3 linked regions of the Canis lupus familiaris genome follow. The protein of the gene in region 1 interacts with the protein of each later gene in a biochemical or structural test. Links are inferred from orthologs where the notes say so. Each region holds a gene or a part of one and is shown in the gene's direction. Other genes may lie near its edges.

The links.
Region 2: the proteins of RALBP1 (region 1) and SYNJ2BP form a complex in vitro, tested with the Homo sapiens proteins (2 studies listed by BioGRID and IntAct, with this or other methods). The link is inferred for Canis lupus familiaris from reciprocal best matches to the Homo sapiens genes RALBP1 and SYNJ2BP.
Region 3: the proteins of RALBP1 (region 1) and DLG4 interact in a biophysical measurement, tested with the Homo sapiens proteins (2 studies listed by IntAct, with this or other methods). The link is inferred for Canis lupus familiaris from reciprocal best matches to the Homo sapiens genes RALBP1 and DLG4.

What each region holds. Positions count from the first base shown.
Region 1 is NC_049228.1:75,593,877-75,597,310, forward strand, and holds the end of RALBP1 (ralA-binding protein 1), read left to right. Parts: intron 1-133; coding exon 134-255; intron 256-700; coding exon 701-824; intron 825-1,048; coding exon 1,049-1,288; 3' UTR 1,289-2,934; downstream 2,935-3,434. UniProt on the Homo sapiens protein: Multifunctional protein that functions as a downstream effector of RALA and RALB. As a GTPase-activating protein/GAP can inactivate CDC42 and RAC1 by stimulating their GTPase activity.
Region 2 is NC_049229.1:44,347,995-44,352,144, reverse strand, and holds the start of SYNJ2BP (synaptojanin-2-binding protein), read left to right. Parts: upstream 1-1,350; 5' UTR 1,351-1,390; coding exon 1,391-1,454; intron 1,455-4,150. UniProt on the Homo sapiens protein: Regulates endocytosis of activin type 2 receptor kinases through the Ral/RALBP1-dependent pathway and may be involved in suppression of activin-induced signal transduction.
Region 3 is NC_049226.1:32,393,065-32,397,305, reverse strand, and holds the start of DLG4 (disks large homolog 4), read left to right. Parts: upstream 1-1,441; 5' UTR 1,442-1,567; coding exon 1,568-1,736; intron 1,737-2,411; exon of another isoform or gene 2,412-2,507; coding exon 2,508-2,606; intron 2,607-2,807; coding exon 2,808-2,848; intron 2,849-3,730; exon of another isoform or gene 3,731-3,887; coding exon of another isoform or gene 3,888-3,917; intron 3,918-4,241. Other genes in the region: ACADVL (very long-chain specific acyl-CoA dehydrogenase, mitochondrial), read right to left, coding at 123-257, 368-432, 514-586, 675-740, 1,013-1,088, 1,165-1,226. UniProt on the Homo sapiens protein: Postsynaptic scaffolding protein that plays a critical role in synaptogenesis and synaptic plasticity by providing a platform for the postsynaptic clustering of crucial synaptic proteins.

The sequences.
Region 1 (3,434 bases):
TACAAGCTTTCTCATAACTTGTGTTATGTATGTATGGGGCTAAAGGATTCAAGGGAACATAGGGGACCCCAGAAAAGTGACATTTCTTAGACTCATACTCTCAAAGGTGTTCATCCAGTAACTGTTATTTCAGGAGAATGAGATCCTGACTGAACAGGAAGAGCTTCTAGCCATGGAGCAGTTTCTGCGCCGTCAGATTGCCTCAGAAAAAGAAGAGATTGAACGCCTCAGAGCTGAGATTGCTGAAATTCAGAGGTAAAGGAAAGCGGAAGGTTTTGAGTTTGCAAGAATGTTTACTGAAATATAAACATAAAATTGTTTCAGCTCTCAGACTTTCATATGCAAGAACTAGGCATCTGAATCAGTCATTTTTAAGTTTCTTCTTTTCTCTCTTTTTAAAAAATCTATTTATTTGAGAGAGTGTGTGCATGCAGTTGCAGGGGAGACAGAATCCGAAGCAGACTCTCTGCTGAGCACAGAGCCCTTGGGCTCCATCCCGTGACCCCAAGCTCATGACCTGAGCTGAAACCAAGAGTCAGAAGCTCACTTGACTGAGCCACCCAGGTGGCCCTGAGTTTCTTCTTAAGTCTTAAGAATGGTGCTGTATTAAGCAAATTCAAGGAAACCTGGTGAATCTAAAGGAAGGGTGGGGAGGGAGCAGCATTCCTTCCTCTGATCACTGGTCCTTTTCTCTTGGCAGCCGTCAGCAGCATGGCCGCAGTGAGACCGAGGAGTACTCCTCTGACAGTGAGAGTGAGAGTGAGGATGAAGAGGAGCTGCAGATCATCCTGGAGGACTTACAGAGGCAGAATGAAGAGCTAGAAGTAAGCACCAGCTTCCAGAAACTCCTAGAGGCCACCTCTTCCCCTTGGAAGTGGTCTTCCTTTCCTTGGGAAACAGTGAGGCAGCTGAGTAGAGAGGAATTTAGGGGACCTTTCCCCAGAGAACAGATTCCTGTGTAGGAGGCCCCCACTAGCCGTTCTCTGTTCCTGAATCATTGTCATCTTGACCTTCTTAAGTGACAGCTGTTCTCTTGTCACCCCTCCAGATAAAGAACAATCACTTGAATCAGGCGGTTCACGAGGAGCGGGAGGCCATCATCGAACTGCGGGTACAGCTCCGCCTGTTGCAGCTGCAGCGAGCCAGGCCCGAGCCGCAGGGACAGGACGATGACGAGCCGCCCAGAGACGGCGCCCTGGAGGTGAAGGCAGCTAAGGAGCAGCCGAAGGCAGGCAAGGAGCAGGCCAAGCCGTCACCAAGCAGAGACAGAAAGGAGACACCCATCTGAGCGGCCCGAGCGTCACGGAACCTCCAGACCCGACGAGACCTGTGCATCTTACTGTAATCCCGAGAGTCAGAGTGCACAACTCTCCGCTGTACATTCTGTAAAGATGTCTTTCCTTCTCAGACTCTTCCTTCTCTCACACGTATGACTTCTCCGCGTCAGGCTCAGGTTACACAGGAGGACAGAGCAGTGCACGCATTGTGGGCTTGTAGGGGACAGATGAGATTTCCAGATAGTGTCAGCTTATTTAAAGATTAATTTTGTTAACTAAAACTATTTTAACCCTTGAGTGGCTTCTTTTTAAACCAAAAATTGTCTTTCTTTGCTTTTTTATTATAGCAGAATCAGGATCTCTTCCTCTCGTTCGGGGTGGGGGTGGGGGAGAGCCAAACAAGGTAAATACTGTTTCCGCCTTGTGGATTGCCCCATAGCCTCACCGTCCGGGATCTCTGCTTACTAGTCACTCCTGCTTGTGCCTTTTACACCTTTCCGGTGCAGATTATATAATGGGGAGCTGCCTCATATTTCCTGACTGGCCACAATGGCTCTTATGGAGGTTACCTTTACCCACCCTGTCACCCTCTCCTCTGACAGTCCTAAACCACAGTCCATGGGCCTGAGTCACGGGATGGCCCAGCCAGTCACAGACAGAACTGCCAGGGGAGCCTGCCTGCCCGCCCCAGGCAGCGTGGCTCGCGTGGCCGCCTCCTCCTGCCGGCTCCTCGCTGCTGGTGATCAGCGCGTGCTTTTCACTGGGTCGGTCGAAGGTAGCTGCCTGACCTAAGACGTTCATGCAGAGGATCTGTTGCTTAACCCAGAAATCTGTCTGACCTGCCATTAAACACAGAAGGACGTAGATTGCTTGCTTGGGCTAGAATGTAAAAGTCTCTTTGCCTGAATAAGCCATATATGCTCTTAAACACAAGTCTTCAGTTCCCTGTATCATCTCCGCGAACCTGCTGATGGACTCCCGATTGACGAGATTGAGCAATAGAAAAACACTTTCCCTTTAAGTGATAGCTGTGATCCCTGACCCCGTCCTCTTGCTTCTACAGCTTGTCTGGTGACTGAGGCATCTGGGAGGTCAGCTCTCAGGCACCTGGGATCGGTCACCCTGTCTGAGTAAACGGCACCCATGAGGTAGGTGAGCTCTCATGGCTGTGAAGACATACCCCACACACTCAAGGTGATGGAAACAAACCCCCACGAGGGCTCTGTCCTCTCCTAGTTACTATTTATTTTCAGCACCTGTTTGATGCGGTTTTTTTATTCTCTACCTATTGCACTGTTGTGACTTGTTGGCCATTGTTTGATTTTTGTACGAGAAAAAGCTTTGTTATAGAAATCAGCATACTATTTTTTTAAATCTGGAGAGAAGATATTATGGTGACTGCAGATATGGTCAGGTGTCAAATATAAACGTATAAAAGCCTTCTTGCTGTCCTGTCGGTCATATTACATTCATTTCATATTTGCTGGCAATATTGAAGGTTTCTTTTTTGTTTGTGTAAACTCTTAATTTCTATCAAGGTGTCATGGATTTTTAAAATTAGTATTTCATTACAGTTGTCTCAGCATTGGTTAACTAATTTTTGCCAGGACCATTATTGATCAAGCAAATAAATTCAACAGCCATTTGAGGAAAAAAACAGCAGTGTCTTTTTTGTACACATTCTCTCTTTGTAGGAGTTAGTGTCCCACGGCTGGCAAGGAGTTGGTGGGCTACCTTCTTGAAGGTCCAAGCATATACTAACCTTTGGTTTAACTCGCTGCCTGCTGCTCACTCGGACCGGATGCCCCTTGCCCATTGCTAGGGTTCGCTGTGCTTCGAGTGGGTGCCGGCTGCTGACCAGGATCGGGGCTGTGGCTGGCTCTGCGAGCGACGTCCTGCCTACAGCGGAAAGTGCCCTTCGAAACCATGCACGGGGCAGTCAGCCCAACTTGGCAATATAGCAGGTCGGTTATTGCAAAGTCCTTTTCCTTTAGGGGCTGGCAGGGGCGTCTGATCATCTAACTAGCATTGGTTATGACGCCACTGCTGGGAGAGCTGAACCTATCATCACGTTGTGTTTGCCCACATGGGGCTTAGCATAAGTGACTCTGTTTGGGCATCTGATTTCTGACAGTAACCCCCCTTTTGATGAGATGC
Region 2 (4,150 bases), on another chromosome or scaffold:
TCAGCATAATTCCTTCCAGTTCCATCCACTTCGAAGCAAACGGTGGGTATTTGTCGTTTCTAATGGCTGAGTAATATTCCATTGTATACATAAACCACATCTTCTTTATCCATTCATTTTCCGATGGACACCGAGGCTCCTTCCACAGTTTGGCTATTGTGGACATTGCTGCTAGAAACATCGGGGGGCAGGTGTCCCGGCGTTTCATTGCATCTGTATCTTTGGGGTAAATCCCCAGCAGTGCCATTGCTGGGTCGTAGGGCAGGTCTATTTTTAACTCTTTGAGGAACCTCCACACAGTTTTCCAGAGTGGCTGCACCATTTCTCAAGTTCTGTTTACATTCTGATATGGGGCTTTCAAGGGCATTGAGCTCTGTTCTTATTCTAATATGGGGCTTTCTAGGACGTTAAGCTTTAAGCTGTTTTCTTCCTGTAACTGAAGTAAGGTAAAGTTCGGCTCTTATTCACAGGGGCCTGGGATGGCTGTACTCGTGCTGACACTGAACTTAGAGTGGAATGGCCTTAATATTCTCGGCCTCCACAGACCCGACCAACCTGAGCTCAGGGCCCGGCCAGATATCAAGAGTTGGAGGATTAAAGGACTGAGCCACCTAGGTACCCCTCCTTTGTCTCTTCTATATATACATACAATTTTCTAAAAGCCCAAAAGCCTCTTGTGAGGTACAAGTCTCTGAAATGTAAATATCAAGGAAGATAGTGCCCCGTCTCCCCTCACCCGTAGGAGTTACCGCCTCAGCGCCTTGCTCCAAGCTTTTAAGTACCTGCTTGTCATAGTTTTATTTTCCTTTTGGATCACGGCAATTCAGTAACAAAGTGGGTGGCCACTACAGGGGCGACTTACCGAAGAACGAATACAGCAAACTCTTACACGAGAACGCGCATCGAACGGATGGTACCTGCCCGGCTACTTCGTGCTCTGCAGTCGCATTAGCGGCAACGCCTGGCACGCCCCTCCTCCCACTCGGGTCTCAGGATTACTGAGTAACAGAACTTATTTCCCACCCCCCACACCCAGGTTTGTAGCGATTTTCTAAGATGTCAGGAGATTTCATGTTTAATTTCTCCTCACCAATATCAACTGAGTGACCTCGACGACGCCCACTCCCGACGGTAAAGGAGGACGGCAAGCGGCTCGTCGCTCACCTCAGAGCTGGCGGCGCGGACCCGGGCGAGGTAAAGATGGCGGGCTGGCCGCCCGAACCACGACTCCCAGCATGCCCCGCGCTCCCAGCGCGCCCGCCTTCCTCTTCCGGTCCGCGGGCTGCTGAAACCGAAAGCGTTGTGCCTCGGGTGGCGCGCAGAGATTGGTTCACCTTCACCTGCGCGAGTCCCAGCCGACCCGGGCGCGGAGCCGGCCGAGCGGTGAGACATGAACGGAAGAGTGGATTACTTGGTCACTGAGGAGGAAATCAATCTTACGAGGGGACCCTCGGGTACGTGCGCACAGGTGGTCTCCGGGAGCAGGGTGCTTGAGGTTGTAATTGCGGAGCAGACAACCTCCTCTGCTGAGCCCCGGTTGGTTTGGCCTTGGAGCAGACAGGCCCCAGCCTAGAGGTTCCCTGCGACGCTTTGAGCACGTACAAGACCATATTGGCATCCTTCGTTAGCCGGACCCGGATCCGAGGAATCCACCTCATTTTTCAGTCGGATTGTCACATGTATTTATAGTCAGGGAGGTTTTCCTTGGCGGGCAAATTGTACCAGAAAGTTCTGCCCCAAGCCTGCTTTTTTAACACCACACCCCTCCTTCCGTTGCCTGCTTTTTATCCCTGTTCCCGTGAGGACCTGTTTAGTGAAAAATGGGAGCGTACACGGTGTTGACTGTAAACGCATGGCCGTTTTTTGTGTTTTTGTTTTTGTTGTTTTTTTAACTGCTGGAATCTCCCCTCCTTCTTTTCATTTTTTTGGGAAATTCATTTAGAGTGTCGACTGGAATGCTAAAACGCTAAGAAACCTTAGAGATCTGCCACAGCACTTTTTAAAGCTTACTTGGGCCTCAATATTACCCAGGGTTTCTCGGTTATGCTTTTGCTTTAAAAAAAAAAAAAAAATTTCCTAGGTCCCATCTCTTAGGAAATTGGATTCAATGCAGGTTTTGTTTGTTTGAGTTGTTTCTTCTCTCTTTTTTTTTTTTCTTTTTTTCAAAACAAGCACGTCCTGTGATTCTGATACCGCTAAATCCTCACTTAGCTTTCAGTCATCTTTCTCCTCAAACCCCTGTGTTTCCGCCAACGCTCTCACTCCACTGGGCTCTTAACTCATTATATGCAGCCTGCCTTGGGTTTTGTTGCCTCCCCTTACAGCTGTCTACTGATTTAAGAGCTTTGGCTCCGGGATTATGTAGATCCATCTGGCATCTAACCTCTTAATAGAACTTTGACATCGGTTGTCTGCCTAACTCTCCTGATAGAAGCTAAGCCTTAGTTTCTCATCCGTTAAAATGTGCGTGATAATAGAATATATTGCAAAGGGTTATGAGAATGAAATGAGTTAATCTATGTAAAACGTTCAGAACATTGCCTGACACCCTAGATAGCACTGTGTGTTTGCTTCCATTGTTGTTATTATTAATAGATGAATAGCTAGATTAGCACAAAAATCCTGCTAAATACTGTTATTCCAAGAGTCATCAAGTAACATGAGCTCTAGTTCTGAAATGTTTCCATAAATCTCTGCTCCTTTTGGCTCCATTACCATTTACTAGAACAGTCCATCATCTTGTCTCATGTGGAATTGTGCAATATCTTGAATACCACTTAGAGACTGTTCTTCATAAAATATACCTTTCAGAATCATCCGTACTTTGCCTTTTTTCTTGTCATAGAAGATTGGAAGTCAGCTTCACTTATGGATGTAATTCATTCTAATCTGCATGACTTAATGTCCTGCTTCAGAGGAGCACCTAAATGTTTGTTGAATGCTCATTCAGTATGCCCAGTTTTTTTGACTCCTTTTTCCTACTTTATGTAAATTTCTCCTCTTTTTTTTTTTTTAAGATGTTATTTATTTATTTATTTGAAAGAAAGAGCACAAGCAGGCAGAACCAAAAGGAGAAAAAGACTTTGATGAGCAGGGAGCTCGACAGACGGGTCAATCCCAGGACCCTGGGATCATGCCCTGAGCTAAAGGCAGACGCTCAACCGACTGAGCCACCCAGGTGCCCCTCTCCTCTCACTCTTCATATTTATTGACTTCTGAAGCTAATATGGAAAAGTATTGTTAAGCCAAATCTGCATTCTTATACTGTTCATCCACTGGTTCTTGTTCCTAGGGCCAGTTAAAACAATGCTAGTTCCTTTTCTGATTATCCTGCAAGTATTTAAAGACATCTAGTTGTTCTGCTCCTGTTTTGTCTTTTTCCTCTATAGCCTCAGTATCCCTAATTATTATATTAGCTGCCTTGATGTGATTTGGGATTTGATTCGTGTCTCCTAAGAATTTAATGTACTTTGACATAATTCTTTTGCTGTGGCATCCACAGCAGAGCAGAACTCTGATATTATCTTGGGTGTTCAAGTCACTGAATATATTTTTAAAGTTCAGTGTAATATCACTTCACCTTTTCTGGAGTTTGCATAGTAGGGTTGACTAATGTTCAGCTCACTATTCTCCAAAATTTCTGATCCTGCTGATCTTTGAAACCTAAAGTTCTTAGTGTTGACATTTTTCTGAATCATTTGAGTTAGGACAAACTTCAAGGAACTAATTAAAAAGAGTAATTACATCTAGTTAATATATTTCCCTCAAAAGTAGTTTAGTTTCTTTTTTTCCTTTTTTTTTTTTTTTTAACAGTCTTTTATTTATTTATTTATTTATGATACGGAGAGAGAGAGAGGCACAGATACAGGCAGAGGGAGAGGGAGAAGCAGGCTCCATGCACCGGGAACCCAACGTGGGATTCGATTCCGGGTTTCCAGGATCTCGCCCTGGGCCAAAGGCAGGCGCTAAACCGCTGCGCCACCCAGGGATCCCAGTAGTTTAGTTTCTATAGTATATGTATGTTTATTCACAATGAATATTTATTTACCAGGTGACTCCTTTAATTTTCCTAAGTATTTTCATGTCTTACTCCTGTAAGTTGATAAATTTAAGAGTTTAGGAGAATGGAGTCACAAATTTAGGATTGAAC
Region 3 (4,241 bases), on another chromosome or scaffold:
AGTCAACATCACACAGGCCCCCCCTTAACTGACAAACCTAAACCCTAGGTCACATGAGGAAGGCGCTTAATCAGCAATGTTGGAATAGCCTGCGATGCTGGCAGTGACCAGGGCTCCCTCACCTGGGTGTTACAGAGGCCCACACCACCCAGCTCGCTGGGTACTTGCAGACCAAAGGCCCCCAGCTCCTTGAGGCCTTGCAGTGTGGTCTCCTCCACCTTCTCCAACGTGTCATTCTTGGCAGGATCGTTCACTTCCTGGAGAAGGCACAGGATGTCGCATCCAGGTTCCTTTCTGGCTGCTGAACACCTCTGCCATCCCATCAGGGACCAAAGCCCTCTGTTCCCCCACCCCAGTCCTTCCTCACCTCAAAGAAACGGGACACAGGCCCCACCAGTTCTTTGAGAAACTGGGTCTGCTCCTCACTGAGTACTGTGGGGGAGAAGGACAGGCTGGTCAGGTCACCGGGGAAGTGGAGAGGCCCTGCCCTGCCCCGCCCCGACGACTACTTACCAGATGGGTAAGGGAACACCTGATCGGTGGTGAGCTGACCCTTGAACATCCCCGCAGCAAAGGACTTGGATTCCTGCTCAGGGAGAAGGGGGTTTCAGCGAGCTGTCTGCTGCAGTGGGTGAGCCCCTGGCCTAGGTCCTCCCGGTATGGAGGCCACGTACCGCCTTGGCCTGCTTCTCTCTGGTCGGAGCCTCAGAGGAGTGGGAATCTGACTTCTCCAGAACCGCCTGGGGAAAGGGACAGTTAGCGAGGCCCGGTAAGGGACTCCCGAGGAGCTGGAGACCACGGGAAGCGCTGGGTGCGGGCGGAGGCGGACGCAGCGACCTTTCCCCTACTTCCATCGTCAGGGCACCCTGGCCTGCCCTTTCCCCTACTTTCGGCGCTACCGCGGGCGCCAGGTGTCCGGGACGGAGAGGGAGACCCCTGCCGGCGGCGGGGAAGGGGGAGCCGAGGCGGACTCCGCCTCCCGCTCTGCGCGCCCCAGGCCGCCGTCACTCACCTGAGCGGCCCCACTGGCATAGGGTCGGCAGGCCGGACCGGGCAGGGGCTGCCCCAGGAGCGCGCTGGGCCGCGAGCTGTGGGGAGCGGGGGCTCAGTCCGGGTCCCCGGTCCCGCTGCCACCCCGGCCCTGCCCTCCTGTCCGACTCGCACCTTCCGACCCCCAGCCTCCGCAGCTGCCGCCCCACGCTCGGGGCCATCCGTGCCGCCTGCATCTCCCAACCACTCCGGTCGCCGCGGTCCTGAGCGCAGATCTAGCGCCGTCCACCCGTCTGCCAAAGACTGGCTGCCCTGGTCCGGTCTTGACTCATCGTCCACAATGCACCGGGGGGGCTGGGCTTCCGGCCGCCAGCGCATGCTGGGAGATGTAGTTCCGGGGCGGGGCCTCCCCCACCCCGCCCCTGCATTCTGGTTAACGTAGGGCTATCTCCAGACGTTTCCGTCTCTCCCAAACGCCTTCGTCCCACCCGGCCCAGCTCGAGTGTAGCCCTCGGAAGGGGCGATGGGATAGGCTGGGGTGGAAGGAGGAGCAGCTCAGGCTTTTGCAGCCGGAGGGATGGAGGGTGGGCCAACAGGAGGACTTCCCCGGTGGAGTTGGAAGGGAGAGGTGGGAGAAAAAAAATGTAAGACGGCGGAAGCAGGGGCAGATGACTCTATGGAGTCCCTTGTGAAACCCATCTCCATCAACACGAGAGGGAGGGACATGGTGGCGTGGGGCGGCCCAGGTATATTCTCCTGAGACCTGAGGTGTCACTAACTTTAGAAACACCTGAATTCTCACCGTAGGGCCCTCCCCTCCCTTCCCCTCTGCAAATTCACCGCCTCCCCATTGGGGCGCTGGAGTCTCTGCCCTTGTTTCCTCCTGAGACTGTGTGACATCCTGGACTCTTCCCAGGGGGAGTGGAACTGTAGGGATTCTTCTGTCGCCCACTCTCACCACACACACCTAGCTCTGGGTCAAGGAGTCCCAGGTCATGTATAGGTCATGTATACCCCTGCCCTGCTGACACACCCAGTGGGGAGAGGCCTGGGCTGGGGCTGCAGGAGCCTCCTTGGGGACACCCCTCCACCCCCACCCCCGTCCCCAGTGCCCAGTCCCTCTGGAAAGTGCAGCAAACTCACCCCTGGCTTTGGGAAGAGAGACCATTGTGCCAGGCGACCCAGGGGGTTAGGACAGGACTGCCCACTTCGGTGGCTAAAGGCTAAAGGCTGGAACCTGGTGGGGAGGCAGCTCAGCTCCAACCCTGGGGATTAGGGAGATTAAAATCAGAGAAGAGAGATGTCCGAGAGACCCAGAGGTGAAACTGGAGAGTCCCATGGAGGAAAGGCCTGGGGGCGGAGCCGAGTGGGGCTGGGACTTGAGGACCCTCCTGCTGATCCTTCCCCACCCCACTTAAGCCCAGGGAGAGGGGACAGGCTAGGGGAGGTGAGTGAGCCGCGCCTTGGTCCATGGGTCTCTTCCCCATCCCATTCCTCCCTCGCTTGCATTTCACCAGCTCCCCGGTCAGCCCTCTGGCTCCTGGCCCCCCCACTGTTGCGATGGGCGCCCCCTCTCTTGGCTGTCCTGCACAGTGACCTCTTCCAGGCCCTGCTGGGTGAGTAGCCCTGATTCTCTGGGGACGCTGGGGTGCGAAGGGCTGGCCTGGGCCTGCCAGGGCAGTGAACACACTTGGGGGACTGTCCGGTTGGCAGCCAGGAGGCCCTAAGGTGCCAGCAGCAGTCAGGGCAGGGGTGGGGGCAGGGGAGCCCCCCCAGGTGGGGTGGGGGAGGGTAACTCAGCTGTATTCTGGTGACAGACATCCTGGACTATTATGAGGCTTCCATCTCAGAGAGCCAGGTAAGGGGGTGAGGTGGGGCGCCTCCCCAGAGGGGCAGACAGGGCAGGGGCCGAGCTGCCGCCCCACCCTTGGGGGCCTTGAAGACAGACTTCTGAGCCCGGGGTGCAGAGAATCCCAGACTCCACGGTCCTGTTGGTCCCTTTCCCCTTCTGCTTCCCCGCCCCCCTCCTCCCTTGGCCCCAATTTCGGGCATAAGGAGTCCAGCACAGAATTACTTCTCATCCTTCCTCCTGTGCAGCCTGAGGGAGAGCTGCCCCCCCACCGGACTCCCCCCTGCCTGCCCCCCCAGACCCCCCCTCCCGCCAGCCAGCACTGCAACTAGCATGGGTGCTGCCAGCCCCACAGCGGGTGCTTCCTCTCCTGAGACCCAGGAGGCCTCCTGATCTCTGGCGCTGGTGCCTGGCCAGGCCTCCATCTTTGCCTTGGGGCCTGTCTGCCTCCGCTCTGCTCTCCTCTCCCATTATCCGGGTTCCTGCCAGCACTGAAGCAGTTAACTCTGCCAAGGCACCCCCCCATCCTCGCTCCTCGCTCCCTCCCTCCCTCCCCCTGCTTCCTCTCTCCTCCTCTCTCCCCTTCCCTCCTCGGCTCCACGGCTCCCTCGGCCGCTGCCGCCTCCAACCCCCCCACCCCACTCCCCCGCCGCGGCCCTAGCCCCTGGCCGGCAGGCAAGACCCCCCCCCTACCCCGGGGCTCCCTGAAATCCAGTTCCCCTCCCCCACCCAGCTCATGCCCCAGCCCCCGAACTCCGGGGCTGCCAGCCCCCGGTGCCCCCGCCCCTCCTGAGAATCGGGGTGTGCTCCCCAGGCCCCCTCCCCTCCACTGGGGACTCCCTTCTAGGGCCCCCTTCCCCTCCCTCCCACGCACCCCTCCCCTTCCCTTCTCCAACCCCCTCTTTCCCCTCTCACCCCTCCCCCCATCCTGGCCCCCCCTGCAAAAGTGGGGTGCGGAGGGGGGAGGGGTGAGAACCCACAGAGGGGAGGAACGAAACTCCGATGAAGTCAGAGCCCCTTACCCGCCGCCGCGGCCAGCCCCCCCAACATGGACTGTCTCTGTATAGTGACAACCAAGGTAAGCACGATAGGGGGGCTCTCAACTGGGGGGAGGGTATGAGTTTGTGGGGAGGGGTTAGGCAGGCCTGATCTGGGGCTGGGGGCTGGGAGTGTACTGGGGGGTCATGATTTACTTTGGGGGTTCACATTTGAGATCATGCTAGGTTTGGCCACAGGTGCCCCCTGGAGTGATCTCTTTGTACCTGTAGAGAAATGGAAAATTTGGGCTGTTTTGTGGTTTGGGGGGGCTGATGGGTTTTGGGGTTCACCAATGATGTTTGAGGGAGACTTATTTAAGGAGAAGCCTGGCTCACATGGGAGTCCTGCTCTTGTGCATTAGAAG